4 linked regions of the Lytechinus pictus genome follow. The protein of the gene in region 1 binds, or shares a complex with, the protein of each later gene. Links are inferred from orthologs where the notes say so. Each region holds a gene or a part of one and is shown in the gene's direction. Other genes may lie near its edges. The genes, in order: eukaryotic translation initiation factor 3 subunit G-like, eukaryotic translation initiation factor 3 subunit F-like, eukaryotic translation initiation factor 3 subunit B-like and eukaryotic translation initiation factor 3 subunit H-B-like.

Region 1 (8,000 bases):
ATATATTATCTATATATCTTATTTATTGGTAATAGTAAATTCTGATTTTTTTTTCTTCATTTTTTTAATATGTAAATAGTATAATTTTTCCATTTTATTATTTTTATTCTGTATGTCGAGGACCCCACTGGAAATAAGCTTTCGAGCTTTCGTGGGTCATTCCTGTGCAAGCCTGTTGTTTTAATGCTACTGTATATATTTTTTCAATTCAATTCAATTCAGTATTTATTTCCAAATTCATTAAAAAGAACAAAATGAGAACAAAAGTATATATACACAAAGAAAAAAATAAATAACTAACATGAAACAAAGCAAAGGTATCAACAAAACATTACTGAAACAAATAGTGGTAATGATAAAATTATGGTTGGCACATAATCATAGAAAATATAGATGAACAAAATAATGAATGGAAATTGGGCATGCACAAAAAAGCCATAAAAAGGCTTGTTAAAACGCACATACCCACGAAATATCAATCGTTAAAGATAAAATTCAGTATATGGTATGGATGCGGCAAGTACCAAAGAATAAATAGAGATAAGAATAGTCATTTCTTAAAAAAATAAATTAAACAAACTTCAAACAAACTTCAATGTAAAACAAAACAGAACAAAAGTTAAAAACAAAACAAAAAATATAAACAAACGGATAAACAATCAAATAAGCAAATAGTACAAAACCACGTTAAGAGAAATCAATAATTGCTCAGCAATTTCTTTTTATATTGTCTTTTAAAAGTATTATTAAATTGTATATTATATGTGTTCAGGTCTAAACTATTCCATAGTGTGGGGCCAGTATGTCGTATTGAATATTTAGATTTATCATTTGAAAAGGTCCATCTGTGGAATTTGTTAAATGCTCTAGTAAAGTAATTGTGAATGTTTGCATTAATTGAGAACATATTCATTAAATAAGGTGAAAGACTTTTTGTGTGGTATCGTTGCATAATTGAAGCAATTTGAATTTTGGTAATATCTGGAAGTTTAGCTGTACGTAATGATTTAAATAGCAAAGAAGTCGGGGCATTATAATCTGTCTTCTTACATATACGTATTGCCTTTTTTTGTAGAATAATTAATTTTTGTATATGGCTAGAATAAGTGTTACCCCAAATTGAATTGCAATATGAAAGACGGGACAGAATATAAGCATTGTAAAGAGTAAATAATATATAACTAGGTACATTACATTTTAGACGATTTAAGATTCCAATAAAACGTGCTATTTTGACAGAGATAGAACTTATATGATCATTCCAACATAAATTATTGCTTAAAATCACTCCTAAAAACTTCACAGAATTATAAAATTGCAATTGAGTTGTATCCACATGGAGAAATATGTCAGTTTGATTATATTGCACACCCCTCTTTTTATTAAATAAAACACAATGAGTTTTGTTTGTATTTAAGGAAAGTCTATTGAACTTAAACCAGGCAGAAATTTGGGCAAGATTTATATTTACAATTTCAACTAAAGTAGTGATATTATCATGGGAGGCAAGAAGTGACGTATCATCGGCATACAATATAAAATGTGGTTCATGGCAAGAGTTAACAATGTCATTAATATATATTAAAAATAATAAAGGCCCAAGAATAGAACCTTGGGGGCACACCTGTTTTTATTTCCATGAAAGACGAATGGGTATTATCATAGACAGTAAATTGTTTCCTATGCAATAAATATGACTTGAACCAATTAAAAGACACCCCTCTTATACAATAATATTGCAACTTATTAAGTAAAATATCATGAGAAAGAGAATCAAAAGCCTTGGAAAGATCCATAAAAATTCCTATAACTTCTTTACCGGCATTGAGCTCACTAATTATTCTATCATGAATTTCAATAACTGCCATTTCAGTGGAGTAATTTTGACGGAAGCCGTATTGACTATCATATAATACATTATGACGTGATAAAAAATTGTACAGTCTGTTAAAAACTAATTTCTCCAAGATTTTTGAGAAACACGGCAAAATTGATATTGGACGGTAGTTGACAAATAAATTAGGATTCTCCTTCTTAAAAACGGGAACAACTTTTGATATTTTCAGTTTTGAAGGCACAATTCCAGTTGCAAGAGAGGAATTAAAGATATGTAAAAGTGGGTCTATAATAAAGGGTAAAACAGTCTTCACAACAGATGGATCAATGTCATCAAATCCGCTACTCTTATTAGGTTTAAGCGATTTACCGATATCTAATATTTCTTTTTTTGTAATCGGTTTAAAAAACATAGTATGAGAGAGTGGGTCATTCATATAAATATCAAACGAATTAGAATTATCTTCCTTAGGATCATTGTTTATACTCGATCCGATATTGACAAAATATTCGTTAAAATTTTCAGCAATTTCACTACTATCACTAATGTTACAATCATTATGTAAAAAAGACATATGTTTATCAAAATTATTTTTCTGTTTTCCCAAAATGTTATTGATAAGTTTCCATGTTTTATTAGAATTTGTTTTCATGGATTCAAACTTGTCAAAATAGTATTTTCTTTTCAACCGGCGGAGATTCAGGGTAACAATATTACGAATCTTTTTTATATTTATCGTGATTAACTTTGGTAGGAGAGTTAAGATACAATTTATAACATTTGTTTTTCTTTCTTATAAGCTTCATCACATCGAGGGTAATCCATGGCTTTCTATTCCGATGATGTTTACCAATATACTTTGTGCTGATTGGCAGATGTTTGTTATACAATGTAATAAAGTTATTATAAAATGAGTCATACGCCCTCTCCGGGTGGCTTTGTAGGTATACATCTGACCAGTCCACGGTTGAAAGATCAGCACAAAAATGATTAATGCTGTCAGGGGATATCTTCCTGTAGGTGTGTACTTTTCGTTGTTCATATGTTACAATATCTGACAAATGTGACAAATGGAAGATCGGAAAATGGTCGGAAATATCTGTTAAAAAGGCACCCGACAGAGGGGAACTACTAAAAACATTTGTGAATATATTGTCAATAATAGTAGATGATCTACTATTAGCTCGTGTAGGTCTGTCTATAATGGGATAAAACCCCGATGAAATCACTTGGTTAAAAAAATGAAGAATAAGAGGGCTTCCAGATTTTTTAAACAAATCGATGTTAAAGTCGCCCATAAAGAAGACACGTTTATTATTTATGTAACTATGATTCATCAGTCTATCAAAATATAAAGTAAATGCAGAAATGCTCGATTTCGGTTGACGATAAATGATCCCAATCACAATATTCTTCTCTGATTTGCACTCTATTTCAATACTTAAAACATCGACACCTTCACAGTGCTCAGAAAAATCACACAGTTTGTAATTCATATCCTCTCGAATAAATAGACCAACTCCACCACCGCGGCCATTTAATCGGTCAACATGTAGGAACTTATAACCTTCAATTGAAAAGGGGACATCAGAGTTTGAGTTGATCCACGTTTCCGTTATCCCAATCACTGAAAATCTAAATCTGATATTTGAGAGAAAACTGTGTATATAATCAAAATTTTGAAATAAACTCCTTGCATTGAAATCCCGGGGGGGCCACTTACATTGACGAGTGGATACCATGCGCGACCAAAAAAACACGTAAAAAGGATGTCTTTTTCAAGATAGGGCACGTTACGTACGTAACGTGATAAGGGTGTCAAAAACACAAAAATATTGAAAAAAGGGTATCTATTTCGCTAGGAAAAATATACGTGTTTAGGGTCAAATGTGCGGGGATGATAAAACAAAGTCAAAATGTTTTATAAAGGATGTCCTTTTTGCCCCAACACTACGTGTTTAGAGTCCGATTTGCGCGAGGTGTGGAAGGTGGGGCCGTACTAAACCAAAATAATGGTGTCTAAAGGTAAAACCGACGACCGACGGACGCGTGACATAACAATAAAATACCTCTGTACTTGTTAAGGGGTTCATTTCAGGGAATACTTGCTAAGAGTATCGTTTTGTTTCCAATTCTTGTTAAGGGGTGCATTTTCAGAATATGGAAAATACATCGCTGTACTTGTTTAGGGGCTCAGTTCTGGGAATACTTGCCAATAGTATTTGTTTCCAATACTTGTTAAGGGTAGGGTTTCACACGCCAATACTTGTTAAGGGGTGCATTTTCAGAATATGGAAAATACGTGTTTAGGGTGCTTTTCAAGACCCCGTGGTCGCGCATGGTATCCACTCGTCAATGGAAGTGGCCCCCCCGGGATTGAAATGGATCATGCTAAAATTTTTTGTTACAGAGTTTTTGATAATTTCATTAAATTCAGAGGTCAAGTAATACTTCGCATTGGTGGAGTCGGTATATTCGTCCTGACCATTTTCCACAGATTGTCCGTCTATATTATCTGTATCGACGGACTCTCTTGTTAAACAGAATAAGGATTCAAATTCCGAGTCATCAATTTCTGCAAATGGAAGAAGGTAAGTATCGTTTAAATTTGCAGATGAGTTATTGATGGTTTCATCTTTATTCAAACTTGATTCTATTATTACATCATTCGACATCGTTAACAAGACGCACAGGACAACATAAAATCTACACAAAACACAAACACTTGAGAAATAATTGACAAAAGGTAATATACTATTTCAGTCACTAACTTTTATTTATCTTTAAGAGTCAGATAATAAATCGATTGATATAAACCAATAAACCAACAAACTAGACTGGAATGCACGGGGGAATGCAACAGCATTGATTTTTCTCTCAGGTTACAGATTCTCCAAGTCTTGTTTACAGTGGATGGTTTTACGAATTGACTTTCCATTCGTGGTAGTTAACAGGACTACGATTCGTCCATGTTATTGTGACTTGCCAAATAAAATCAATCAATCAATTTCTCTTTTCCCCGTTCCCCCCCTTATTTTCCAGGTGAAACCCCCCTGCCTGTTACGCCACTGCCCTCCGCCCCCCCCCCTTTGATCCCGAATCGGGTTTTGATATAGCGCCATCTACTGTGCAGCTTTGGTGCAGCTGTCCCATTCATTTTGTACGCGCGCCGAATACGTGTACTTACGCAAGTCACGCATGTGTGTCATAGCAGCTGTTCACTTTTACGAAAGTTGGCCTAGAAACAGTCTTCAAATATGCCCTCGGCCGATACGTAAGCATTAACCAGAATATTATTTAAATGTTTATTTTTTTATTTTTATTTTAATAAGTATTATAATCTCAGAAAATTGAAAAATTTATCATGATAAAGATTCTTTTTATCACCATCTTTGTCGACTTTCCCCTCCTCAAGAGGCATGCGCCACGGCCTAGCGTGTGAGATATCTTTTACACGCAATTGAATAGGTGATATCACGTTTTCTTGATAAACGTATTGGAATATCACCCGAGTTAATTCACCAGCTACGCCTATACAGCACAGAAAATCTGATATGCAAGACAGTGTTCCTTGCATTGCGATGAGTGTGACTGAGTGTGTGTTCAATTTAGTGATTAGGCAATTAATGGAACATAAGCAGACAATTCAGAATATCATTTTAGATCTAGGCCTATTTTAAATCATAAATGGTTATTTTTTTAATCTTTTGATTAGATTTAAAAATTGAGGAGTGCTCTGTCAGTAGAGAGGCGCACGGCCAATATTGGAGACTGTCTCCAATGTGGGAGATTATCTCCAATATCAGAGACTTTTGTAAAGAATTTGGGTATCAAATTTCAGAGACAGTCTCCAGTTTTGGAGACCAATTTCCTTTGTTTACATTTGCTGCAAAAGGATTACCTTGGCGGCAAATAAAAATGTGATAAGCAGATTCCTCATGAAAAATTACCCCTTTTCACCGTCTACTTTAAAAATTCACCGTCTACTTTTGTTTCGATAAGGATTTTTGTTTTCAATCACACTCAAAACAAATGGGCTTCTGACCTCAGTGAGACAAAATTTTGGGTAGAAAAAATCATGCTTTTGTTGGTGTTGTTTCTTTTGTCCTTTTGCAAAGCAAGTCTCCATTGCGGGAGATTGTCTCCCCTATTGGAGAGAGTCTCCCATATTGGCCGTGCGCCTCTACTGTCTGTCTGAGTAGGCACTTCACTCGCGTGAGCGATCGTGCGGGCAGATCAGCTGTAGCCTTGAACTTGAAGACTCCATGATGATATTTTTTAAATATTTTGACATATAATAAAAGCTTCTCCATCATGGAGCCTTGAACTGCCTGCCATATATGTATAAGAGACTCACTAAAACAAAGATGGATTTCCCTAGGAAATCCATCTTTTAAGATAAAAATCACGTAAATGTTTTTTATTTTATTTATTTTTACACCTTCATACGCCTAATGCGTATGAAGGTTTCAAAAATTGGTTAATACGAAGGTTAAAAATTGAAGGTTTCTTACCAGCCCGAACTCGTGTAGATCTCTCGATTCGTTCTTCAACAAAGCAAATACAATAAGTCTGACCCTTGAATCGCTTCGTTATGACGGTTTTAATCACGTATTAAATTTTAGTATTTGTTAAATAATAATTTTATCTATGAATTGTTCTTCAATAAGGCATTTTGTAACATCGCTAATCGAAGGTACATCATAACAAAGCGGTTCAAGGACCTATTGTAAATGAAAATAAACTTTTCTTCTTGCTTTACAGATCTAAACCTATTAGCTGGGCAGACCAAGTAGAGGAAGGAGATTTGAGTAAGTTCGTCATTTTGACTTACGTCTCCTCTTTTTATAAAGAGGAAACCAACCTAAAAAAAAGGGACTTGCAAAGATAATGATCATTGCAAAATATTCTTCAAAGGATGTTTATTGCACATAATTTAAAGTTCAGTTTCCTTTCTAGTGCTTACTAAAGCTTGAACTTGTATGGTTAATGATGAATGAATCCCAAAACTTAAAGCTGACCTTGATGAGGGTATGTGACCTTTTATGTCTTAATGTCAATGTTTGTTATGTTATTTTATTTGTAAAAACTAGGTTGCTATCATTTGAGCTTGGATGGACAATAGACTAGGCCAGTTATTAGACCAGGCCAGAATTCGGAACCACTACTGAAAGTTGTATTGAATTCATTGTACAGTAAGCTACAATCATCAATAAAGGAACTTATTCAACTGAGCATTATTTTCCACATTTTTGGTTAAAAAATCAGGCAAGATACAGGAGTGTATCACAGTCTATGCTAAATCTTTTTTTTTTAATATCTTTCTTTCCTATTATCTTACTAGGGAGTATTCCACCTCCTGAAGAATTGTTTGAAGGAGATTTCAAGAAGTTGATCGAGTACAAACGAGATGAAGATGGCAAATTGATAAAGGTACCCACAATTATTTACAAGATTTATGATTATTATCTACATTTATCAAAGAATCTACAAATTATAAAATCACTTGTCTTATGTAGGCCTACATGTATTCATGTTTGGTTGTGCATACAAGTCATTTTGTTATCATATATTCATTTATTTTAAACATATATTCATTTATTTTAAAATGGACAAATAGTCCTACAAAGTCGGACTGTTAACATCTACAGTAAGTACATCCTACTTCACTGCCACTGTAAGAGTACCAAACAGCACAGTGCTGCAATTTACTAACAAAAGTTCAGTGATTTGTTCCTTGAAATATTTATGTTCAAAGTAGGCAAATTCTCTAAACCACAAATTTTAATTTGTGCTTGTATTTCATTAATACATGACAATCAGTGGTCAGTAACAAGAAACCTAGTGCTTGATCTAGGTCTGATTTTTACCCTTGAGTACCTTGATCATTATGTGCAATCAGTCAAAGGAATCAATTGTATAATCAATCACTAATCTTTGTGTTACATGCCCCTAAAAGAAATAATTACATTGTGTGATTTACATAACAGGCTATATGTATTTAGTTTTTTTGAAATCATGAAGTTTTTTTTTTCTCTCTCAGATCACACGCACATTTAAGATTGAGAAGAGGAAAGCCTCCAAGTCAGTAGCTCAACGAAAGGTATGAAGATGAAATTAGCAAAAAAAAATGGTTCTGATGTCAAGTTATACCAGATACACA
Region 2 (7,390 bases), on another chromosome or scaffold:
AACCGCACTTTCCACCCTTTTTCCCTCACAGGATTTATATATTATTAATATCCCTAATTTTACCACACTTGATAAACCATTGTCATATCAAAACTGATAAGGCATGAGCTGTGGACTGGTGGCACAATGTAATTTGTCTCTCTAAAAGTTAGTTCCTGAAGAAAAAAAAAATTGTAGAAACGTCAGAATTTTTGTGGTTTTGCAAAAGCCCCGCCCCTGCCACGGGCCCGAGAAATAGTTTTCCAGGCAGTAGTCTCGTATATTCTGCACTGTGCAATTGAAACAAGGGCCAGCCATGACTAGGACAGAGAGAGTAGGAGAGTAACCTCCAAATCCAATCACCAATGCCATGCCATGGCAATGCCCATGTTAACCGGTTAAGCTCCGCGGACGGAGGCTGAGCCGGCAATGCAGGCTCGCCGGGCGTGCCGCCGAGCCCAAACCCTGTCTTTCGCCTAATCATTGTCTTTCCACGCACTACTCACCTGTGTGTGTTCCACGCTGCTGTTCTTTCCCGCATCCCCTTCGCCATTGGCTTTGGTATTTCCAGAAGTTCCTGCAGTACCTGACTTAGTATCCGAGCTTTCCTCTGGACTCCCACTTCGAGTAAGATAGTAGGCTCCAAATGCAAGTCCTGCCACTGCTATTGGGGCTCCGACTGCTATCGCAATTTGCCATTTTGTCCATCCAACATCGCTCCCTGGCCTGCTACTCGCTGCCATCTTGGATTACGAAGTGAAACGCCATAAGTTGTGCGGTACGAACTATTCCCGCACGTGCGTGATCATTGCGGCGTTTATTTTGCATTATCATAATGCATAATGATACGGAAAAAGCTACAAAGAATATTCCCTACATAAGAGATAGATTCCTTAACTGAGTGTGGTGTGATGAAGTTGCTCGGAGTCGGAGACATGCAGTCTCCCGGGGCAGTCTCAGAATTTTTAGCATTTATTTTATCAACCTTGCATTTTAGGGAATGAATCTAGGTCTACATAAGATGCCTTTTAAAAACAATTCATTGGCCAGTAGAGAATCCTGGTTTGAAAAGTGATCGGGGGGGGGGGGGGGGGGGTTAGGGGCGTCCCACTATGGGTGGGGGCTCAATCCGGGGGCTCAATTAAGCTGTTATATTTTGTCGAGCCCCCCCCCCCCTTCAAAGAGAAACTGGTCTCTCACTCCATTCACCTCCAACCCCTTTTGACCGCCATTCCATTTAATTTTACACAACTTGAGTATTGTATGCTCTATTCAATTATAAAAATTCATCATTATTTTTTAAATGAAATATTACCATTAAAATATTTAGTATCATCATTATTATATTTATTATTATTTTCATTAGTATTGTTATTATTATTATCATCATCATCATGATTATTATTGTTTTAGGGAGTGGCGTACAGATCGATGCGGGGGCTTGGGGATCCCCCCCCCCCCCGAAAAAAAAAGGAAAGAGAGAATTAAGAGTAAAATATAATATTATTTCCTCAATGTGACATCTAAATCTATCACAAAACTTGATTTTTGTATTTAAAAAGTAGAAATTTATTCTCGCTCGCTTCGCTCACTTGTAGCTTTCTATGAACTTTGCCTGATATACACCAAATCTGGCACCATAAAAATTTTCGGCTCACGACGCCACCGATTTCAGTCCATGGTGGCAGACCTAGGTAGGGGTACATCCGATATTTGACTAATTGTGCCCCCGCCCCCTCTCGAGAGCAAAAAATAAAATTATTGTCAATTAAAGGTTTTCCCCTTCATCTTTTATTTTTTTGTGGAAAATAGGTAAAAAATAAAAATGTCTTTAATAACGCTGAGCGGGCACCGCCCGGTAATTAAGCTTCGGCACCGCCCAGTAACTTTATTAGCTTGCGCTCGCATTGCTTTATGAGATATACTGCTTGTTATTTATTTCAAAAGTGCTTGAAAGATCCAGTTTTCAGATCTGTATATTAAAAAATAATAATTTCGCGCTCGCATCAGTAATATGGTTGCGTCAGATGCTATCCTGTTTTTATATTGCTATAAGGTTAAAAGAAGATGACTTTTTGGTCGGAAAAAAATAAAGATACGCTTCGCGCTCACATTAATAAAAATTTAATTAAATAGCTACCCTGTCCTTGATTTTAAAATAGGCTAATAATACCAATTTTTAGGCCGGAAATGACATATCTTCAGTACACACTTCGCGCTCGAATCTAATATTGATTAGTAAAATTCCTATCCTGTTCATGATTTGAAAAAGTGTTACGATTGTCCAGTTTTTAGGTTAGAAGATACAAACTTTCAGCCTGCGCTTCGCGCCCGCATTAATTGTTTAGATTCCTATCCTGTTCATAATTTTTTTTTTAAGTACTAAGAATGTCCATTATTTAGGTTGGAAAATAAAAAACATTCAGCTCCCGCTTCGCACTCGCATTCATTGTTTAGATTCCTATTCCGTTCATTATTAAAGGACAAGTCCACCCCAACAAAAAGTTGATTTGAATAAAAAGAGAAAAATCCAACAAGCATAACACAAAAAATTTCATCAAAATCGGATGTAAAATAAGAAAGTTATGACATTTTAAAGTTTCGCTAAATTTCACAAAACAGTTATATGCACATTGTGGCTGGTATGCAAATGAGGAGACTATGACGTCATCCACTCACTATTTCTTTTGTATTTTATTATATGAAATATGAAATATTCTTATATTTTCCTCATTGTCAAGTGATACAACAATTAATTCCTCTCTGAACATGTGGAATTAGCTTTGTTTAATACTATATGGTTCAGTCAAGTTGGTCCTTATTGTCAAATCTGTAAAAAATAAAATATTGTATAATTCAAACAATAAAAAACAAAAGAAATAGTGAGTGATGGACATCATCGACTGATTCATGCACCTAATTGTGCATTATGTTTTGTGAAAAATAAGCGAAACTTAAAAATGTCATAACTTTCTTATTTAACATCCGATTTTGATGAAATTTTCAGAACTATGCTAGTTTGAGTTTTCTCTATTTATTCAAGTCAGCATTTTCCTGGGGTGGACTTGACCTTTAAGTGCTTAGAATGTCCACTTTTTAGGTTGGAAAATCAAAAACTGTCAGCTCGCGCTCGCATCTATTATTTAGTTGAATTCCTATTCTGTTCATGATTTATTTGAAAAAGTGTTACGAATGTCTAGTTTTTAGGTTGGAAAATAAAAAACTTTCAGCTCGCGCTTCGCGCTCGCATTATTTATTGAGGCCTTTCATCTTTAGTTAGGAATACCTCCCCTCTTCGAAATATGTATATATATAGGCCTATATGTATACATATTCATACCTATTAAACGTCTGCTACCGGCGGTTTCACGCCCAGACTTGAGGACATCTTCAGGCAGACTGACGTTATTGACTATTTTGTGTGGTGCGGCGGGTCAATTTGACGCTTCGGTGGTTTCCGGTTTGGTCTCGAAACCGCCGTTAGCAGACGTTCAATATGAATATATGCTCTGCTTTATATAGCATTGAGCACTTTGCACAATCATCGGCATCTCCCGTCACATCTAAGGATATATATATGTTTGAGTTAGTTATTCTGGAGAACATAAAAACGGAAAACTCAATTGTGTCCCCCCTACCTTCAAGGAGAGATTTCCGCCCATGTACCCATGTATGTACTGAAGGCCCTCTGAGTCGCTCCTGAATTGAAACAGCAAAGCTTTGTATGTGCTAGTCTTTGCGTGGAGACACACTTGTTGATCAAAGTTTCAATCAGGGTCTGTGCCTGCAGACTATATACTCTCAAACGGGACATAGACATTTTCGGGGGCTTTCCTGGGGATTCTTATATTGTTACTTTTTTTCCTCCAGAAACGGACCCATATATCTAAGGATTATTCAGTAGAAAAAAAAGGAACCCATGACTAAGGATTTCTTGCAATAGCAAGACCCATGTCAAGGGTTTTATTTTTATTTTATTTTATTTTTTGCAAAAAATGACCCAAATGGAGCGGCACATCCCCGCGTATGCGATATACACGCAAGACCCCCCCCCCCCATCCCACGGGAATTGTTTCATGATAGAGGAGGAACTATTCTCACTTGCGTAGGCCTGTAGGAGGAAGGGGGGGGGGCTTTGGTTGCGCCCCCTGTACCCCATCAATTTTTTTAATGAAATAACTTGATGATCTTTTTCAATATATTTTTTTTTTATAATAGCAAACACAGTCATGATCGATGTAGAAACGCTGGTAAGAATTTCAACTGGAGATACATTCTTAAAGCTATTGGCCCGATGGAAATAATTTTCAGGCCACCGGGGCCTATTTTGGCATTTTCTTCAGCTGTTTCCAACTCAAAATAGCTCCACTCACCCCCCCCCCCCCTCATCCCCATCGACTGATCGAGAAACATTTATTTAGCCTGGCCCTTCTCCAACCAATGATGGCAGCATTCAAAATGGCGGCCTCAGCAAAAGTCGTGAATATCCATCCGGTAGTTTTATTCAGCATTGTTGACTCTTTCGAGAGGCGGACAGATGAATCAGCACGTGTAATCGGAACTTTACTTGGTAAGTATTCAAGGATAATAACTTCAGCAAAATAAAATAATGCCTTGATGGAGATTCTGTACATTGAAATGAATGATATTCCAGCGCTGTGTACCACACGTGATTTTGGGCTCTGGCATCTGCAGCTCCTGAGTCCTGGCCCGAGCCCGAGGCTTGTGTCAGTGACAGTGGCCAGTGGACGAGGGGGACTCGTGAAGAAGAGCCCCTATCTGTACACCAAGGGGGGGGGGGGGGGGGTGACGAAGGGCTGCCGGCTGAGCCTGACTCTGTTGTCGTGTTGACTGTTGAGTGTTGTCCTTCCTGTTTCGTGATTTTTTTCTTCACCAAATTGTGTCTTATTTTTTGTCATAAAAAAATAAATTAAATTTCGAAATTTCTTGTAACACTAACAGTTTTCTAGGGAAATGGTCTGATTGTAATATTCTTCACTTTCTATAACTTTTTTTTCACAGAAATTTGTATAAAAAAGTGTAATTTTCTGCACTTTTCCTACAGCTCACGATTCCCATAGATGCGCGTGTATTTACTGTAAAAATCTAAAATTAGCTGTGTTGGTGTTGGATTGTTAATGTTGGTGCTCGACTCATCTGAGTGTGATTTAGCAAATTAATTCAGTTACACTAGATCTAGTGGTCCTATTGTATTGATACCAGTAACCCTTGGGTAAACTTATTCTCGAGGTCGGACATCCGGGGATTTTCACTCGCAAAAGTAACTTCTGCATAGCAACCGATCGCGAGGGTGCAAACAAAGCCGGAACAATCATAGCAACCGATCGCGAGGGTGCAAACAAAGCCGGAACAATCGGGGCGCGCAAACAAAAGTCCATTGACTCAGCTGGGTTGAGATATACGTTGAGATGCCACCCCTCTTATTTTGATAACAATTGTCACCCCCACTTTCAAAATGAAATGATCGTGAGCATTTTTTTATAATCTATATTTTGATACCAAATATTGGTAACTTGAGCAGGCAGCTTTGAAACATCGATTGCTTAATGTGGGCGTCTCAAATCGTCGCCCGAGAAAAATGGCAGCTAAAATTCGCACCGTACGGACCAAGCTTGCAAGTCCGAATTTGACTGCGCTAAACTCCTTTTTCTTTTGCTGGATCTTTTAACCAAATGTTGCAGCATTTCAGGGAATTACTGAGGATTAATATCAGATGCCACAAGACACTTTTCAACATTGCAAATGATTTCTAGAACCATTTTGGTCATGCAGTGACAGGTGAGTGGCGCAACAGTAAAAAAATTGCACATGGCGACTCACTGCGCATGTAGTGATGTACGTTAAAACTTCGGATAAAGCTGGCCATCTTGCCTTGTTCTTGGAACACCCGTACACACAACATATTTTCACCATTGTCCAGCAATTAAAATCAAAATGCAGTACAAAACGCGATGAAAATATAATATAACAGTTCAAATCAACGACTTCCAAAAAACTTCAAGGAAACTGCACAGCCAACACGTACGCTCGCACCCTTTGTTTGCACCTTTGCCCTTTGTTGTTAGGGAAATCACGTGACTGTGACGTCATGCCGACCTCGAGAATGAGGTATATATGGACTGCTCTGTATTCGGATGACGGTGGAACTCATCTCTCTCCAAAGTGCCTCAGTGGGGTGATAGAAGGGCTGGTATGAAAAGCACCTTGGGAATGACAATTTACACAGTCATCCTACTAAAGCAGTCAATGTTTATATAATGTTACATGTCATGTTCTCAAAAAAATGTAATTAATGTACATTATCCATATTCCAAGATTAAAGGAGAATGAAACTCTTGGAGCAAGTTAGCTTTTGTGAAAGCAAAAAAATCAAAGAATAAGATCAACAAAAGTTTGAGTAAAATAGGACTAGCAATAGAAGAGTTCTGAGCATTTGAATGTCGAGATCACTAATGCTATGGAGATCCTCCCATTGGCAATGCGACCAAGATCTATGATGTCACAGATGAACAACTCTCCCCTTTTGGACACTGAAAATATACCCCAAAACATCTCTTTTTGCTCATTCTAATCATATGACAAACGATTCATCAATGATATAATGTTGTGAAACCTCTGACTTGTCCTCTCATAAAGAGAACACCTCACCTTGTGATAGACTCTATAAAAGTGAGAATATAAGTGAAATAAGTACTAAAGTAATGAGGGAGTTGTACGTGTGTGACATCACAGATCTTGGTCGCATTGCCAATGGGAGGATCTACATGGCATTAGTGATCTCAATATTCAAATGCTCATAACTTTCTTATTATTCATTCAATCTTCCTCAAACTTTCAACGATATGTTTCTTGGATTTTTCTCTTTGATATGGATTCAGCTGGTTTCAAGGGTTTCATTCTCCTTTAATAATACCCAAATAAATGATGAAATTTTTAAATTTAAAAACACAAAAAAATACATATGAGGAGGTGGGGGGGTCATTTTCAAATAATTCAAATAATTCACTGTGTCTATATACAAAGAGATCAATTTATTTTAGTGTAAAATGTAGGTTTATCAGATTGTAATTTGCAGAATTCATCATTGATCTACTTATGATTCAATTAACATAATTCCTTATTGTGGCCTCTGTTTTTTTTTTTAATGTAGGTACGAGTATTCAAGGAGTTGTTGAAGTCACAAATTGTTTCTGTGTGCCTCACAATGAATCAGAAGATGAGGTGAGTTAAAGCTGCTCGGAAATGCACCATCTTGATACCTATAGTACCTCGTATTGACCCTACATCATTATCTACGATGCAACGTTTTGATATGTTCATTCAGTCGTATATATATGTTTATTAAGAATGATGAATAATTTCCTTGTATTTTTTACACTAAAGCATCCAT
Region 3 (8,006 bases), on another chromosome or scaffold:
CACAAAATGAAAACGCAAGAGGCTTGAAAGGCCTATTCATAAAAACCACGTCGTGTCCCAAATTGTGCTTAATATTCAGCTGAACTTCCAAATAATACAGCAATTTTCATGCAAAGAATAATGCGTATGGTAGTTCGTGTGTTCAATGTTTTCCCCAATTGAAAGTTGACAAGATATTGAGGCAGTTACTCTCAGTAGTATTATATACAGGTTCTTCAGAAAAACCTTGTGGACATTTTACAATTGTGAACGGTTTAAAATATTTCACTTGGTATTATTCCGTTATTTTGTGTGAGTTAAGCATCTTGAAATGAAACAGCATATATCATATATGTCAACTCGATTTTAGAATAAAGATGACTTGAATAGTTGACAAGGAAACAGAAATACAAGCTCTATATATGTGTTTTATTTTTGAGTTCTCGGTGATTCTCATTTCTTAGGTCCGACGATCGAAACCCCTCTATCGTTTCCTAATAAATCTGAAATAAAGAAAAGTAGAATAAAGTTATATTTTCATCTTGAAGTTTAATTGCATCTAAAAATGATGGTAAACATAATGCGCCATGATGAAGTGTTTTGATGGTGATGATTTGCCTGCATGAAATGAAGTGTGGATTCTGATGTTTATGGTTTTATGGACATATACAAACAGAGAAAAAGTTTTAATGACTATTTCTTTTTTTTCCTAAGTGATGAAATGGATTCACGATGATGATTGGCCTTTGTGATAAATGAACTCAGGGTGATGATGTACGAGTGGGTGTGCATGGTTTTGATTGCATGATGGTTTGGATAATGGGCAATTCCGTAAAATGATCAAGCTTTCTGTACATTCGACCCCCATTTTTCTAAAGTCTTACATCACTTAATAAACTGGCCAAGTCATGGTCATTTGACAGCGTTACAGACTGTCAAAAGAACCAAGAATCATAGAGACCGAAAATTTCATGAAGATCCCAAATATAGAGGTTCGAACGTACATATTTTATGGAATTGCCCTAATAAAAATATGACAATAGTGCGTGATCGATGGTGGTTGACAATGATGATAAATAACGTAAGACTTAGGGTATGTATGTGGGGTGAGGGGGGGGGGTATAAATCAAATCAGCAATGATCGTTATGAAATCGGAATGAAACTCTATGTGAAAAATAATACTATTTGAAACAAAAGTCGACATTATTAAAATTGGACACTTAATATCAAGGTTACAGCATGCTTAAGATTTCAGTGAAACAACTCTTTACTGTCTTCATCAATATTCAATCATGAGCAAAGTGATCGTGTCACGTGAAATATCCCAATTTATTTTTTCGTATATTATAAAATTATGTTCAATTTGTCCTCCAAGAATGAAAACAAAAACTGACAACAGATTTAATACATTTGATACTCTTTGCTGCAAGGCTTGTTAAGGAGACATACCATACTCACATCTTATATGTGATATCTTAAGAAAAAAGAGTAGGGATGTGACATAATCGGCCTAATGAATATTGATGACGACGTGCATATAATTATCTTCACAAAACATCAATAATCTTTAAAATTCAATAACTTAGTTACTTTTTATCAGATTTTCATAAAAATTTCCAGCCTTTGCTTGGTGAATCTTACCCTATTTATTCAGAAATCATTTTCAGCCCTGAGTTCACCTTTCAAACATTTTATTAAGTCAAGTATAGACCTTAAATTGACATGAGGAAATTGATCTGGCGTGTGGTAAGCATTGGCGGCGAAGTCAAAAAATTTAGGGGGTTCCACCCGAAATTTTGTGATGATAACAGGTTAAACAAAATTGACAAGCAAAAAAAAAAAGGCAATCAACTAAAATTTTAGGGGGGGGCAGAAACATTTTAGGGGGGTCCACGCTGACTTTAGGGGGGGGACGCAGGAAATAAAATTGACAAGCAGAAAAAAATAAAATAAAACAGATTATCAACTAAAATTTAGGGGGACCACCCCCCCCCCCACCTCAAATTTAGGGGGGAACCTGTCCCGCCGCCGCCTATGGTGGTAAGAACATTATTATGACGTATTGCAATGTCATTCTGGTACGTCATACTAATGACTCATCACTCCATGCTGCACGTGGGTTGCCGTCGCACATCGGGGAATCCCTGGTACTGGTAGTACCAAGAAGCTCCTTGGTAGTACACAAAAGCAATGGCATATCGCGGTACGGCACGGTGCACGTAAATCACATGGTACATCCACACACCATTATTGTGTGCACATACGACATGTACTTGAATGCAAGTCCGATGATTTATGCATTGTGATGCAACCACTGATCTCCACTCTAAATAAGATGCAACCTTGTGCTTGGCGAAGTACTCGTAATCTCTATTGTGACGTATATGTGACCTTTCAACTAGAGCAGTGACCCAGACGTGTCCGTCTACGAACGCATTATTCATGAGCAGTTGATAAGTTGCGTATTTGAAAGGCAAACTTGACAACGAAAGCGGTAATGAATGTATTGCGCGCCCTTCCAACTCCGCCCCGGCCCCTTCAATGCGATGCGGCGTACAGCAGCTCTGTGTGTGTTTTAGGTCAAGCAAAATGTGCCACTATCGGTGTGATATCGCTTACGTTTTAATCTGAAAATGTGCCAAACTTTAGAAGCAAATATCTCTGGATTTAAATGCTTGTGAGTTATGAAACTTGATTTACATGTTATTTCAGATATTCTCTTCACTTTCTGCTACGTGACAGTGATTTAATTCACAAAATAGGTGATTTCTGAAAAACGTCCAGACACCCTACTAGTATGGAATAGCGGTTGAAAGCTTTAATGTTACAGTTCATGTGTTAACCTGTACTAGTACGTTGCTGATATTTTGATAAGATAAGAAGAACCCCCCCAAAAAAAAACATGAAAAAAGCCTGGCTTCATTTTTGTGTTCATCCATTTATTTTCGTCTCGAGTCAAGACGTCAAGTTCAGTTTCTGGATGCGCTGGTGGAGTTGTGTTACTGCTGGGGCGGTATTCTGAAAACTGTGTTAACGTGTTAACTTTGGTATAAATATTGACCGTGTTATCTCTGATTTAACACGCCCCTAATACCCCCCAAATCCGGATTCTGAAAACCGTGTTATCTCATTTCGTGTTAATCTAGCTTCAGCTCCTCCCAATCTGCATCTTTTTAAGCCAATCAAATGCGCTGTTAAAGAAAAAATCTTTTCAGGGAAAAGGGGAGTGTGCGCACGATGACATGAAGCCTGCATTGTTACATCATTTTGGAAACGCATAGAGCCTAGATCTACAGCTAAATAAAAAGTTAGAGCGAGAAAGAGACATGGGGAGGGGTGATTGTGACAATTAAGAATGGATTATTTCAGACAGCATGGGTACGAAATTATAACAGGAGACAGAATTAAAATTTGATGCGTGTAGCGATCAGCCCCTTCCCCCCCCCCTCCCCATCCTCCCACATCCGAAGCATATAGATTGACTGGCGGGATAGATGAATTAAGGATTACCTAGAAGCATTGAGAGTTTAAAAAATTGTATCAATGGAACTATATATACATGTAACCATTGAAAAAGGGTTTTAAAAAATTGTGAATATTATAGAAGAGTTCCCTAATCGCTAATTCCATTCTTTTTAATTTCCGTTCATGCTTTTTTAAAGATGTTTTTAATTTTCTTTCTCTCCTTTTTAGATGTTTTTAATTTTCTTTCTCTCCTTTTGTCTTTTTTATATTATGGCAAAAAGTAACCAAATAAATAACTCATGAGCATATATGATAATGATTTGAATTAATCCAAATTAAAGATGCATTTGAAGTGTATTTTCACAGGAAATTCCAAAGAAATTTTTGTTAAACTTTAATCATTGTTAGTAGAGAAAAGGGAGATGGAAAATAAAGCTGGAATAATGAAACAGGGATGCCAGTCTTCAGGCAAAAGCCTGAAATTCAGGCTCTGGCAATTTATTTTCAGGCCGTAGTTATAGCATTTTTGTGTACAAATTATTGTATTCTAGGTGATTTTCAGGCCCTCTGATCAATTCCAACTGGCATCCCTAAATGAAAGAAAATTACAGTAAATTCTGCCAGATGATAGCTTTATGCCCGGATATGTTCTTTTTGACGTTTGCGTCTGCTAGAAAAGTGCAGCCATCGTGTTCCCTAACTTAACCTCCTTATCGCAGTGTTGAATTTTTGTGTTATCTACTTATCTTTGAACAAAATTTTAGCTAACACCATTTTCAGAATACCAAATTTCATGTTATGTTCCTCCCTAACACCGCGTATGGGGGTTGCACGTTGCGCACTGCGTATTTCATGACCTACTCGGTGTTACCACTTGGGCCACATGTTTTTCATACTAACACTATTTTTAGAATACCAATCGTGTTAGCTGACACCGTTTTTGTGCTAACACGGTTTTCAGAAAACTGCCCCAGGTGTCTGGACTATGTCTCTGACCCTGACTGTGGTGACCAAATGCCCTTCATTTTTTTTTTATTGATGACCTTTTATTTTTGTATGTTAAATATTTGGTACAACAGTACAAAACCTAATCTAGTCTTCTAGAAATTCACCCTCTTAATCTCAGCAAAAGACTAGATCGCACATTGCAAATAACTGATGATGTAACAATATTAACTGAGCACTAAAAAAAGCCTTAACAAGATCAGGAAAAACATTTCTCACAGAGGATGTGGCTGGCACGGCAGATGATAAAGTTGAGTTGTAACATAAAAAAAGTTGTTCCACATTTTTTTTGACAAAATGAATCAGTAATGTATATGACTTTCTTCACGGAATGCTGTCAAAAAGTTTGATCTTCCTGTGAGTCTTCACATTTATGACCTTGTACACTCGCTGGGTCTAAGATCTTAGTTACGCTCAAATAGCAGAGCTATTTGAGTTACTGAAGAATAAATGGTGCATTCAATGTAAGTTATATAAACTTATTTTTAATCGAACTTGCAGATCATTCTTAATATTATAAACCTTGTATAAACCTCTCATTGCAGAACTTCTCGGTGATATACTTCGAACCAAACCAAAGGAAGCTCTTGGCATCGATTCTGTAATTGTCATCGACAATGTACCACAGGTTGGAGCAGATCGGTTACCAAAGCTGAAGAACGTCATCAGGAAAGTTTGTAGCAAGTATGGAGAGATCAGCACAGAGCACTATCCTGATGCTGAGGATGGCAAGACAAAAGGGTAATAATCTTTGAAGTTAGTGGGGGTGTCGGCTTTCAAGGGGGATTTGACACCACTCTTGGTTAACCATGGAAGATTGAGATTTATGACTTGTTATGTAATGCCACTGGAAAATGCCTTATATGGTAGTCATTTTCTCAGATTTCCTGGCCTGACACTGTTGCCCGAGGCTTCTTGCTGGTATACAGAGTTTGCTTTCCCCAAAAGATGTCTCTGTTATGTTTATTTCCAATTGGTCTAATGCCAATTCCTCTAATTACCAACTCATCTACTATCATTTGATCTATCATCAATTCGTCCACTATAGTACATGGTCCAATTGCCATTTCGTCCACTCACCTTTTTGGTAAATAACCAGTTGGTCCAATAGCCATTTAGTCCATAAACCATTTGGTCTAATTGGATAAGTGTTGAATGGGCGAAATGAATGAAAAGAAAATGGGTATAAGACTACATGTAACTGGTTATTAGACGTAATGGTCATAGACGAACTGGTGATTAGACGAAGTAATTATTGGACCAAATGGTTAATGGACCAAATGGTTGTTAGACGAAATGTTGATGGATGGAATGGCATGAGACTAAATAAAGGTAGACCATGTGATGAGTGGATGAATTGGCAATAGACGAATCGACAGCTTACCCTCTATTACAGGTATTTCCACTGCTTTTTACATAATCTGGGATCAACAAATAATCTATTCCCCATGAGAGCTGACACCCATTCACTGTAAAGGGCATTCCCCCCCCCCCCCCCCAACAAAAAACTTGATTTTGAATAGTTAGAGAAGAATCAAACTAATTTAATCAAAAATCGGATCTTGAAAGATTTCACAAAACATGTACACATGTACAGCACAGTGATGTGCTCATGAGAGAAGCAGCGCCACTGATTCTTTTGCCTTCTGTTACATGAATAATATTTCAATTTTTGCTGATATTTTGACAAAAAGAAGAATGGAGATAAATACAGCTCCTAGAATAGTCTGATGTTGGAGGATAGGAGAGAGTTCTTCCTCCTTTTCTTTCTAGTTCTTTCTAGGTTTCTTTCTAATTCTGTAGAATTGAAATATTCTAGTATTGGTACAAGGAATCTTGAGAGATCAAGAATCCCGAAGTTTATTACCAAGATTTGTTTTTACTGTTCTTTTGCAAAGCATCAACGGAGATCCTTTTTACGTAATTAAGAATTCTTATTCCTTTTTAATTTTTGCACCACAGGTATGTTTTCGTCGAATACAAATCACCTGAAAACGCCATCGAAGCTGCCAAGCAATTGAGTGGGTACAAGCTTGATAAACAGCATACGTTTGCTGTTAACTTGATCACAGATTTTGACAAGTAAGTTGCTCTTCTTGTAGCCATTTTATATTGTGATTTGATAGGGTCATCTTCTTGTGCCATAATCCTGATTTTGATAAGGACAAGGGTGTTGTTTCATGCTTTCATTTATTAGATGACACAATTTTAGTAGTTTATTATAGTAGTTTTCAACTTGTTATTGATGAGCAGCTTTGAAAGTTTTTTTTTTTTCTTTTGGGGGGGGGGGGGGATTTCTATGTTTGCTCTAGCTATTTGTGTAAGGAAAAGTGGTTCATGCTTTTTAGGGGCAAGGTTCTAGAGACTAAGATAAGATGTAGGGAGGGTGCACTGCTAGATGTGACCATGAGAACGTTGGACACACAGATCACAGAAATTTGCTCAGTTTGGCGGCGGCAGCTGTGATGTGTGGAACCCGGATTTAAATTAATGTGAAGAATTATGTCATGAAAAATTGCCTCGTACATAATTGTTGTAAATACATGTTCATATTTAAGAAAGGCTTGATTAATGATTTGATTTGATTGTTCCTTCTATTGATAGGTTTATGAATCTACCGGATGAATGGACCTCACCCGAGAAGCAGCCATACAAAGATCATGTAAGTCTAGCTCAGGCTTTTAGCAATAAACGTACTGACCCATCTTTACCCTTGTGCCTTGTGGGTAACTTATCCATTATGTGTGCACGTCACCTGGTCCAGCTATCCGTCTTTGACAGCTATGTCGGGGTGCTACATAACTTTTTGAATAGTTGGAATATACTTGCCCGAAATCTATTTCACTTGCCCGAAAAAATCCTTGAAAAAAAGTTTGCCTCTTCAAAAGAAAATATTGCGGTTAAACCATTGACCCTTTTTTCTCTCTTTTGACATGAACTGATGTACCTTGTTCTTACATTTCTTTTTCCAAAGTGATTTTATCTTTTCCACCATGACCCTAATTTTGGTCATTCTACTGTGAGAATTTTTGCTTGCCCAATTCGGGCAAGTAGTTTTGGTCTTTACTTCAAAACATTTGCCCGACTTTAACTTTTACTTGCCCCGGGCAATCGGGCAAGTGCTTATGTAGCACCCTGTATGTTCAATAATTTTCTTGCAGTCTTAGGGCCTTTTCACACGAGAATCTTGAATAATCATTGTAATGATGATTGCAATTTGTCTTTAGAATCATTGTACCATTCACACGTTTGCTTGAAAACTGATCTGAATTCGAATTCCTGAGCGAAGGCGGTACTGTGTCCTTGGTGACTTGTCAATCAAACCCAATCAAAGCACTGCATTGCAAAAACGAAACGATGAGTGCATGACAATTGTATTATCTACGGAAGTGCTTGAAAGGTCACGTAAGCTCGGCCCCTCAAAAGACGTCGGGAGGTCAACCCTTTCAGACGAAAAATTTGTACCGTAATTTGAGTGAAACTTAATGGAATTCACCTCCGGAGTAGAATTTGAATTCGTGATCGTGATTAGCGTTCATGGTTCTAGTTCAGTTTC
Region 4 (7,137 bases), on another chromosome or scaffold:
CCCAAGCATTAGGAGGGGGCACACTGGGGGCACCGTACTATTGTGCGCCCAGCAAAAAGTAGCTTAATATAAGTCCAGAGAGAGCGAAGCGAGAGAGAAAAAAATCACCTTTTTATGAGAATCTAACTTTGAGAATGATTTTTGACATGGAATTCAGGAAATAACATCATATCTTACATCTTCCTTTCTTTTCTTTCATCTTTTTTTTTTCTCGAGTGGTAGAACTTTTGGGGGCCAGTGCTATGCAGATCGGGTCCGGGGCAATGGCAGCACAAGGATTTTTAACCTAGGGGGAGGCAACAAACATTTGGGGGCAACACACAAATATTTTTACAACAAAACTATCATCATCTTGTAAAAGAACCTGGGGATTTCCCTTCTCTTTTCTGTGAATCTGCATTTAGACAAATTCACAATATATCGACTAAGCAATTTTATCGCACTTTTTTAAATATTCATAACTCCGAAACCTCCAAGGTGTTTACTCGTTTTAATCAACTTTACAACATCGATAGGCAACACTGGCGTAAATCCGTGTTGGTGGGTGGGGGGATGACTGAAATATTTTGGCTTTTTTTTGCAGTCATGTTTTTAGATATGCAAGGAATTGTCATTGATATGTCCACAGTGGCGTACCGTGGGTCACGGCATTGGGGAGGGGGCACCAGCAAAATGTTTGAATCACTGAGTGAGCGTGCTCAGTTGCCAGTTATACTGACCTAATAGAGAAATTTTCTGGACAATGTCATTAAACGGATATGCATCTCACTGATCAAATAATGCGAGCGCGAAGCGCGAGCTAAATTTTTTTTATATTCACACCTTAAAAGAGACATTATAATCAAATTTGTGTAATCATGATAGGTACCTGTCTCGCTAAACAATACGAGCGCGAAGCGCGAGCTGAAGTTTTCGTATATTTTGACCCCAAACAGCGAGATTTTGAGGAATATATTTTAGGAATCCATTAAGAGTATGCATATCTCACCATAGTCATCTAATGCGAGTGCCAAGCGCTTGCTGGCTTATAAGAATTACATCTGAACACATTAAACACTTTTTGTAGTCATTGCAATCATGATTATCATACGCATCTCACTAATCAAATATTGCGAGCGCGAAGCGCGAGCTGAAAATTTAGATAATTCAGACCTGAAGTGGGGCATTCTAAGGTTTCTTTGTAGGAATTAACTAGGACCATACGTAATTCAATATCCAAATGATGCGAGCGCGAAGCGCGAGCTGAAAATTTTTGATATTCAGATCAGAAGAAGGGACATTTTAAGGACTGATTTTAGGAAATTCATGAAGAGCAGACATATCTCACCAATCCACTAATGCGAACGTAATCACGGACAGGAAATGTTTCATATATAAGAAGACCTTAACATGGGGCAATCACTTTTTGAGTCATGAAAAGAAGCATAAATTATGTCACTACATAAAACAATGATAACTCAAGTGCTAGGAAATATATTTGGTTTATATTGACTTGAAAACGGGATGTTTCAGTACAACAGGATTATATATCTCGTTAACAGACAATACAAGCACCAGGGACAATGAAAACGTAGGCCCTTGGCAAATTATGTTTCATGAAGTTATGATAAAACTGTTTCTTATGTAATGTAACATAACATAATTATAATATAACATTATAATGAATAATACGCTTCTCTTCCTTTCTCCCTCTTTTCTCATTTTCCCCTTTTCCCCGTTTTTTTTTGGTCAGCTGATTGGGAGGGCACGTGCCCCCCATGCCCCCCCCCCGTAGTTACGCCACTGTATGTCCATATGGCAAATACCCCTCCAATATTATTATCTTTTTATCCCATGAGGGTTTAATGGTTTTATTAGAGATTACATTAAAAAAGAATTGACATTCCATCTTAATCCCTTCCCAAAGACCCCAACATTGATGAATTGGAAGAAACGGGAGTTTCTCTTCAATGTTATGATAAGGACATTGTATTTCGTTTGGAAATGGTGAACTGGCTCTTTATTTGCATTTTATGATTCAATAATATTGTTTTATTTGTTAAGCGGTATTTCAGGAAGAATTTTCACCAATAAAACAATTATCTCTTGTGATGTTTTTTTTCTTCATTTCTTTCGTAAAAAGTGGGGGGATGTTTGTACAGGCCATCCCCCCCCCCTCCTCGAAAAGTGGGGGAAGTATCCCCCATCCCCCCGGGATTTACGCCAGTGATAGGCAACAGACTTCCAAATTGTTTACTCTTCCATTACGAATCACTATTGACACAATACTTCGAATTACACATTATAAAACTTTAAATAACTTAATACCTACAAATGAATGGCTCACAAACATAGGAAAGAAAACCAATGCATTATGCTCTTTTTGCAATGCGACACCCGAGACATTGGATCATTTGTTTCTTGCATGCCCTAAAATAGCATCCTTTTGGAATGCGTTGCGTATGAGAGTGACTGATTTTAATCCTAATTATTTCCTTTCACGAGATACTATTTTATTTGGATTACTAGAACCATTAAGTCAATCCACCTTAGCATTTAATTTTCTAATTTACTTGGTAGGCCTAAACAATTCATTTTGAGATGTAAATACCAAGAGACTCTCTCTAGTTTGAAACAATTTAATTATTATCTTTTATCTTATAAATTTACTGAGGAAATTATTGCAAAAAAAGAAAAACAAACTAAATAAACACAATGTAAAATGGCAAAACATAAACAATTATTTTTCCATTGCATAAATTGTAACCACTGTAGATTAGTATTTTGTATTAATCGTCTTTTTGTGAGTTTGTTTTATCTTCTGTTCATGTTGTAGTGGTGTTTCTTATGTCATACTTTCGGTCATGTTAATACATTAAAATGTCATATTTTTTGGGTTGCACTATACCCCGGCGATGTCGCCAGGACGACAATGGACTGGACCGACGGGTATTACCGTACCCAGTGGCGTACCTAGGATTTTTCACAGGGGGGGTGGGGGGCAAAACCGTCCGCCAAAAAATTAATTTGACAAGCAAAAAAAAAAAAAAAAAAAAAAAAGGTCTTCAATCACAAATGAAGGATTTCGTATCAGAAAAAAAATTGACAAGCAAAAAAAAAAAAAAAAAAAAAGGGCTTCAATCACAAATGAAGGATTTCTGTTTGATTGAAGTGCAACGATATGTTTTGTATACGAGAAGCGCGAGCTTTTTTTTATGTAGACCCTATATAGTCACCCTACTGACTTAGAAAGGGACCTGTTAAGTTAACTGTTTGCACTGGGTCATGAAGATGATATCTCACCCCCTCTCACCAAATAAATAATGCGAGCGCGAAGCGCCAGCTGAACTTGTTTTGATATCCTGATATGATAACTGGTCGACGTTCTAAGCACTTTTTGTAATCATGAAGTGGATGACAATATAATTAAATAATTGATGCGAGCGCGTAGCGCGAGCTAAAACAATTTCAATTATGAAAATTATGAATAGGTAGGATGTGTATCTCGCTAAAACGAATAATGAAAACTCTAATTCGCGAGAGGCACATTGGCTTGAACATTGGATGTTTAAGCCCCATGTGAACAAATAATTTACTTATCTCAGTTGATCTACAGTTCGCACTTATTTTTATCCCTTGTATGATATATTATCACTATTTGATATAATGTGTTTCACTTTTAAAAAAGTATATATCTGAGAAAAGTTTTTTACAGAATAAAGGTTCGTCTATATTAACACAATTGTCTCGTTCCGTTCAGTCGTTTGATGAGCTAGCCATCTACATTCCATGATAATTGATAATTGTTTAGATTTATATAGACAGGGGCCGCGGAAGCGGGGGGGGGGGGCTGGTTTTTTTTTCCAAAACCATGTACAAAAACGTAAAAATGACCATACGGTTGTGATTTTTTGCATTGTCAGCCCCCCCCCCCCACTTTTGGCTCAGCCCCCCCCCCCCCCACTTTGAAAACCGTTCCGCGGCCCCTGATAGAGACTTTTGAATGTAATTTTCTCGGAAAATTGAAAATGGTTATTACTGTACCTTCAGTCATCACGAAATTTATGCATTTCATAAACCTTAACCAATATTTTTTGTATTTTTCTGCTATTTTTACAACAAACTTTTCTTCAGGGTGAACTTCCCCTTTAATTTTAATCGCGATCTTCAAATTGGCAGTTCTCAAAATGGCGACACACAGTACACTCGAGACTCCGGTGGCAAGAGTACAAATCGACGGCTTGGTATGTATTTTCCTTACTTATTTTGCTTTGTTTTGTTGGTTTTCAATGTACTATACTTTAATTAGTGGAACTTGATTGATTTTGAACAATTCAGGCGAGTGAAAGTGTGTTTTATTCGTTGTTTATTTTGCCGTATGTTTCCCGCGACAGACATGTGTGCGTATGACTCTCCAGTCTCCCTGCTCAATCAATGGACCACACTTTCTGTCATGTGTCTGTACTGTACCGTAGTACTGTACGTCACGGCCACTCACACAACATGCGAGGTTAGTATACTAACCTCGCACAACACATGTGATTTCATAGTGCATTTTGACGTTTTCATTCATCACACGAATGTGAGGGACTAAACTACGCCAAACCTTTCAATATTTGTCCACTATGTTAATCTTGATCGTATGATCAAGTTTATTTGAAAAAGCAATTATAAATTATTTATTAAAGTGTTTTTATCGCTTACCTCCAAATCTCAACCAGGATACTTCGCTCGGTCCGTCCTTAGTCATCCTTCGTACTGCGGTGGAAATTACGCAAACAACAATCGAAATGCGAAATTTTCCTATCGAACATTCTCGATTCAAGTCATGCAAGTCGTCGGCGCATAATAGGAAATTGTACCAAAAATCAACATAGTTCTCTATTTATTCAAACAATTTTTTCTGGGGTGCACTTGACCTTTAAGAGATTTTCCAATGAAAATATTACATGGAACTTGGAAATACAAATCATAATTTGGTTGAACAAAATGTTTTCTGTTAAAGTATAAAACAGAAGAGGAACATATCCTTCACGTATTTTTATATCCAAAATATGTTGCCTTTTTATGGAATAATCACAATGACATAAAAAAATTAAAATGAAAATGGGTAAAGTACCTTTCTAATGATCATTGAGATTTCGCCTATGGAATCATTGTTTGATAATTTTCAAAGCTTTAAATAGATGAAAATGTTCATTGAGAAAATATACATATATATGTATGAACAAAATGATAATGTCCCGATTGTTTCGCATTACGTGCGGGCGTTTGTGTGTGTGTGTAGGAAGCAAGATGTTCGTGTTAATGTTTGCACAAAAAAGGAGAGGGAAAGGAAAAGGGAGGGGGAAAGGTAGAGGAGAGAGAGGGAAAAGGAGACCATAAAATAGAAAGAAAACAAAAGAAAGGAAGAGGGGAAGGGAGAGGGAAAGAAAAATGGAAAGAGCGAGAAAAGAGTAGGGGAGGGAGAAAGGAAAGAAAAGAAGGGAAAGGAAAAGCGAAAAAGGGAAGGGAAAGGGAGAGAAGAAAAGAAGGGAGAACGAAAATGGGGAAAGGGAGAAGGAGAGGGGATAATGGAGGGGATAGGAAAATGTCAAGTTTGAAGATCTGAATATTAACACTAAAACAAAATTAGACTCCCATGTTTTATTTATAAAAATAACATCTTTTTCATGATTATAAAGGTTCAACGTCCCTGTTCTAGGTCTAAACTTCAACATAAATCTACTGGCGCTTCGCGCTTGAATTCTGGAGGTCATTCCTCTTTTAAAAGTATAGGTAATCTGTCGGACTTTTCAAATCCCAAATTTAAATCTTAAGCGCAAATGCCCTCGCATTATTTTTCATTTAGATACAGTCCTGTCATCAATATCAAAAACTCTAAGTGCGAGCTTCGCGCTGGCATCATTTTTGTAAGTGACATTTATGATGTTGTTCATATTTTAAAAATGTCCATTTGTTGAGGTTTAAATGTCCAAAAGTTCAGCGCTCGCATAATTTGTAAGGTAAATAGACCTACCCTTTTAATTGTTATACAAAGGCGCTTATACAACGTCCAGAATGCAGTTTGGAATATTGAAAATAACTATTGGTCCCGCTATTTCTGCCCGTGCGACAAGCATTTATCATTTTGAATCATGAGATTCACCTTTAAAATATGATTAAAAAGTATCGTTAAGACTGAATTAAGAAAAAAAGAAGCTCACGTTTCACGCTCGTTTTTTAATTGATCCGTTAGCTTGTGATAATAATGGTGACTTCGTTAATATATCTTAGCGGACATGTCCACCTTTTGGTGCTTCAAGAAAAATAAACACAACACACAAATAATAATAGAAAACGAACAAGAATAGAATAGATAGTTACCTATACCACTCATGAATTCTTATTTAACAGTCCCCAAAACGTATTTTTTTCGTGTTAGCTTATTTCATATACATATATATATATATAAATATATATATATATATATATATATATATATATATAGGCGTAAATAAATCAAGCATTTTATATATATATATATATATATATATATATATATATATATGTTCCATTGTTCTCTTCATCCATTTCTTTACAATATTTAAATAAAAGAGTTGCCAAAGCTGTTGTACATGTATAACTTTACACACATATATATAGGTCTCCTCATCATGGTTATAAAAAGTGCTCAGAATGTTTTATTTTCAAGTCCTTGTATCAGAATTTTCAGCTCGGGCAGCTCTATCGCATTTTGATTACTATCCTGTTGATTTATTTACTTGAACAAAATATTTAAAATGTCCAGCTTTTAGAACAGATATAAAAAAAAGGTATTCACCTTTGATCATAGATGAGGAAGAAGAAAAAAGTGAAAAAAAATAGTCAACAAACTAACGAATTAATGTGACATAATTTTTCTTCATTTCAAGGCGACTCTTTACATTTCATCATCGCTGATGGCGCTACAATAGAAAATACCGCTTGACAGCAAAAAAAAAAAAACAGAAAGAGGAAATAATGCTGAGCGTCTAAAATGCAGCTAGCAGTACAAGCTGCAGAACCGTAAACAAACATCTTGTGAATAATATCGCGCGCCCTCTTTAAGCAAAAGTTTACAACCACAATGACCCTGCGGTATCTACGTGAAGATCACGAGAAAATGCATTTTTTTTC

The links.
Region 2: eukaryotic translation initiation factor 3 subunit G-like (region 1) and eukaryotic translation initiation factor 3 subunit F-like share a complex: the UniProt entries of both Drosophila melanogaster proteins name them as parts of the eukaryotic translation initiation factor 3 (eIF-3) complex. The link is inferred for Lytechinus pictus from reciprocal best matches to the Drosophila melanogaster genes eIF3g2 and eIF3f1.
Region 3: eukaryotic translation initiation factor 3 subunit G-like (region 1) and eukaryotic translation initiation factor 3 subunit B-like share a complex: the UniProt entries of both Drosophila melanogaster proteins name them as parts of the eukaryotic translation initiation factor 3 (eIF-3) complex. The link is inferred for Lytechinus pictus from reciprocal best matches to the Drosophila melanogaster genes eIF3g2 and eIF3b.
Region 4: eukaryotic translation initiation factor 3 subunit G-like (region 1) and eukaryotic translation initiation factor 3 subunit H-B-like share a complex: the UniProt entries of both Drosophila melanogaster proteins name them as parts of the eukaryotic translation initiation factor 3 (eIF-3) complex. The link is inferred for Lytechinus pictus from reciprocal best matches to the Drosophila melanogaster genes eIF3g2 and eIF3h.

The regions. Positions count from the first base shown.
Region 1 is NC_087259.1:30,430,712-30,438,711, reverse strand, and holds the start of eukaryotic translation initiation factor 3 subunit G-like, read left to right. Parts: upstream 1-4,991; 5' UTR 4,992-5,094; coding exon 5,095-5,111; intron 5,112-6,601; coding exon 6,602-6,648; intron 6,649-7,181; coding exon 7,182-7,270; intron 7,271-7,880; coding exon 7,881-7,940; intron 7,941-8,000. UniProt on the Drosophila melanogaster protein: RNA-binding component of the eukaryotic translation initiation factor 3 (eIF-3) complex, which is involved in protein synthesis of a specialized repertoire of mRNAs and, together with other initiation factors, stimulates binding of mRNA and methionyl-tRNAi to the 40S ribosome.
Region 2 is NC_087252.1:22,051,716-22,059,105, forward strand, and holds the start of eukaryotic translation initiation factor 3 subunit F-like, read left to right. Parts: upstream 1-4,381; 5' UTR 4,382-4,419; coding exon 4,420-4,549; intron 4,550-7,150; coding exon 7,151-7,221; intron 7,222-7,390. Other genes in the region: mitochondrial import receptor subunit TOM70-like, read right to left, coding at 486-722. UniProt on the Drosophila melanogaster protein: Component of the eukaryotic translation initiation factor 3 (eIF-3) complex, which is involved in protein synthesis of a specialized repertoire of mRNAs and, together with other initiation factors, stimulates binding of mRNA and methionyl-tRNAi to the 40S ribosome.
Region 3 is NC_087254.1:11,012,934-11,020,939, reverse strand, and holds the start of eukaryotic translation initiation factor 3 subunit B-like, read left to right. Parts: upstream 1-4,995; 5' UTR 4,996-5,191; intron 5,192-6,412; 5' UTR 6,413-6,532; intron 6,533-7,054; 5' UTR 7,055-7,058; coding exon 7,059-7,112; intron 7,113-8,006. UniProt on the Drosophila melanogaster protein: RNA-binding component of the eukaryotic translation initiation factor 3 (eIF-3) complex, which is involved in protein synthesis of a specialized repertoire of mRNAs and, together with other initiation factors, stimulates binding of mRNA and methionyl-tRNAi to the 40S ribosome.
Region 4 is NC_087261.1:24,760,136-24,767,272, reverse strand, and holds the start of eukaryotic translation initiation factor 3 subunit H-B-like, read left to right. Parts: upstream 1-4,116; 5' UTR 4,117-4,166; coding exon 4,167-4,223; intron 4,224-7,128; exon of another isoform or gene 7,129-7,137. UniProt on the Drosophila melanogaster protein: Component of the eukaryotic translation initiation factor 3 (eIF-3) complex, which is involved in protein synthesis of a specialized repertoire of mRNAs and, together with other initiation factors, stimulates binding of mRNA and methionyl-tRNAi to the 40S ribosome.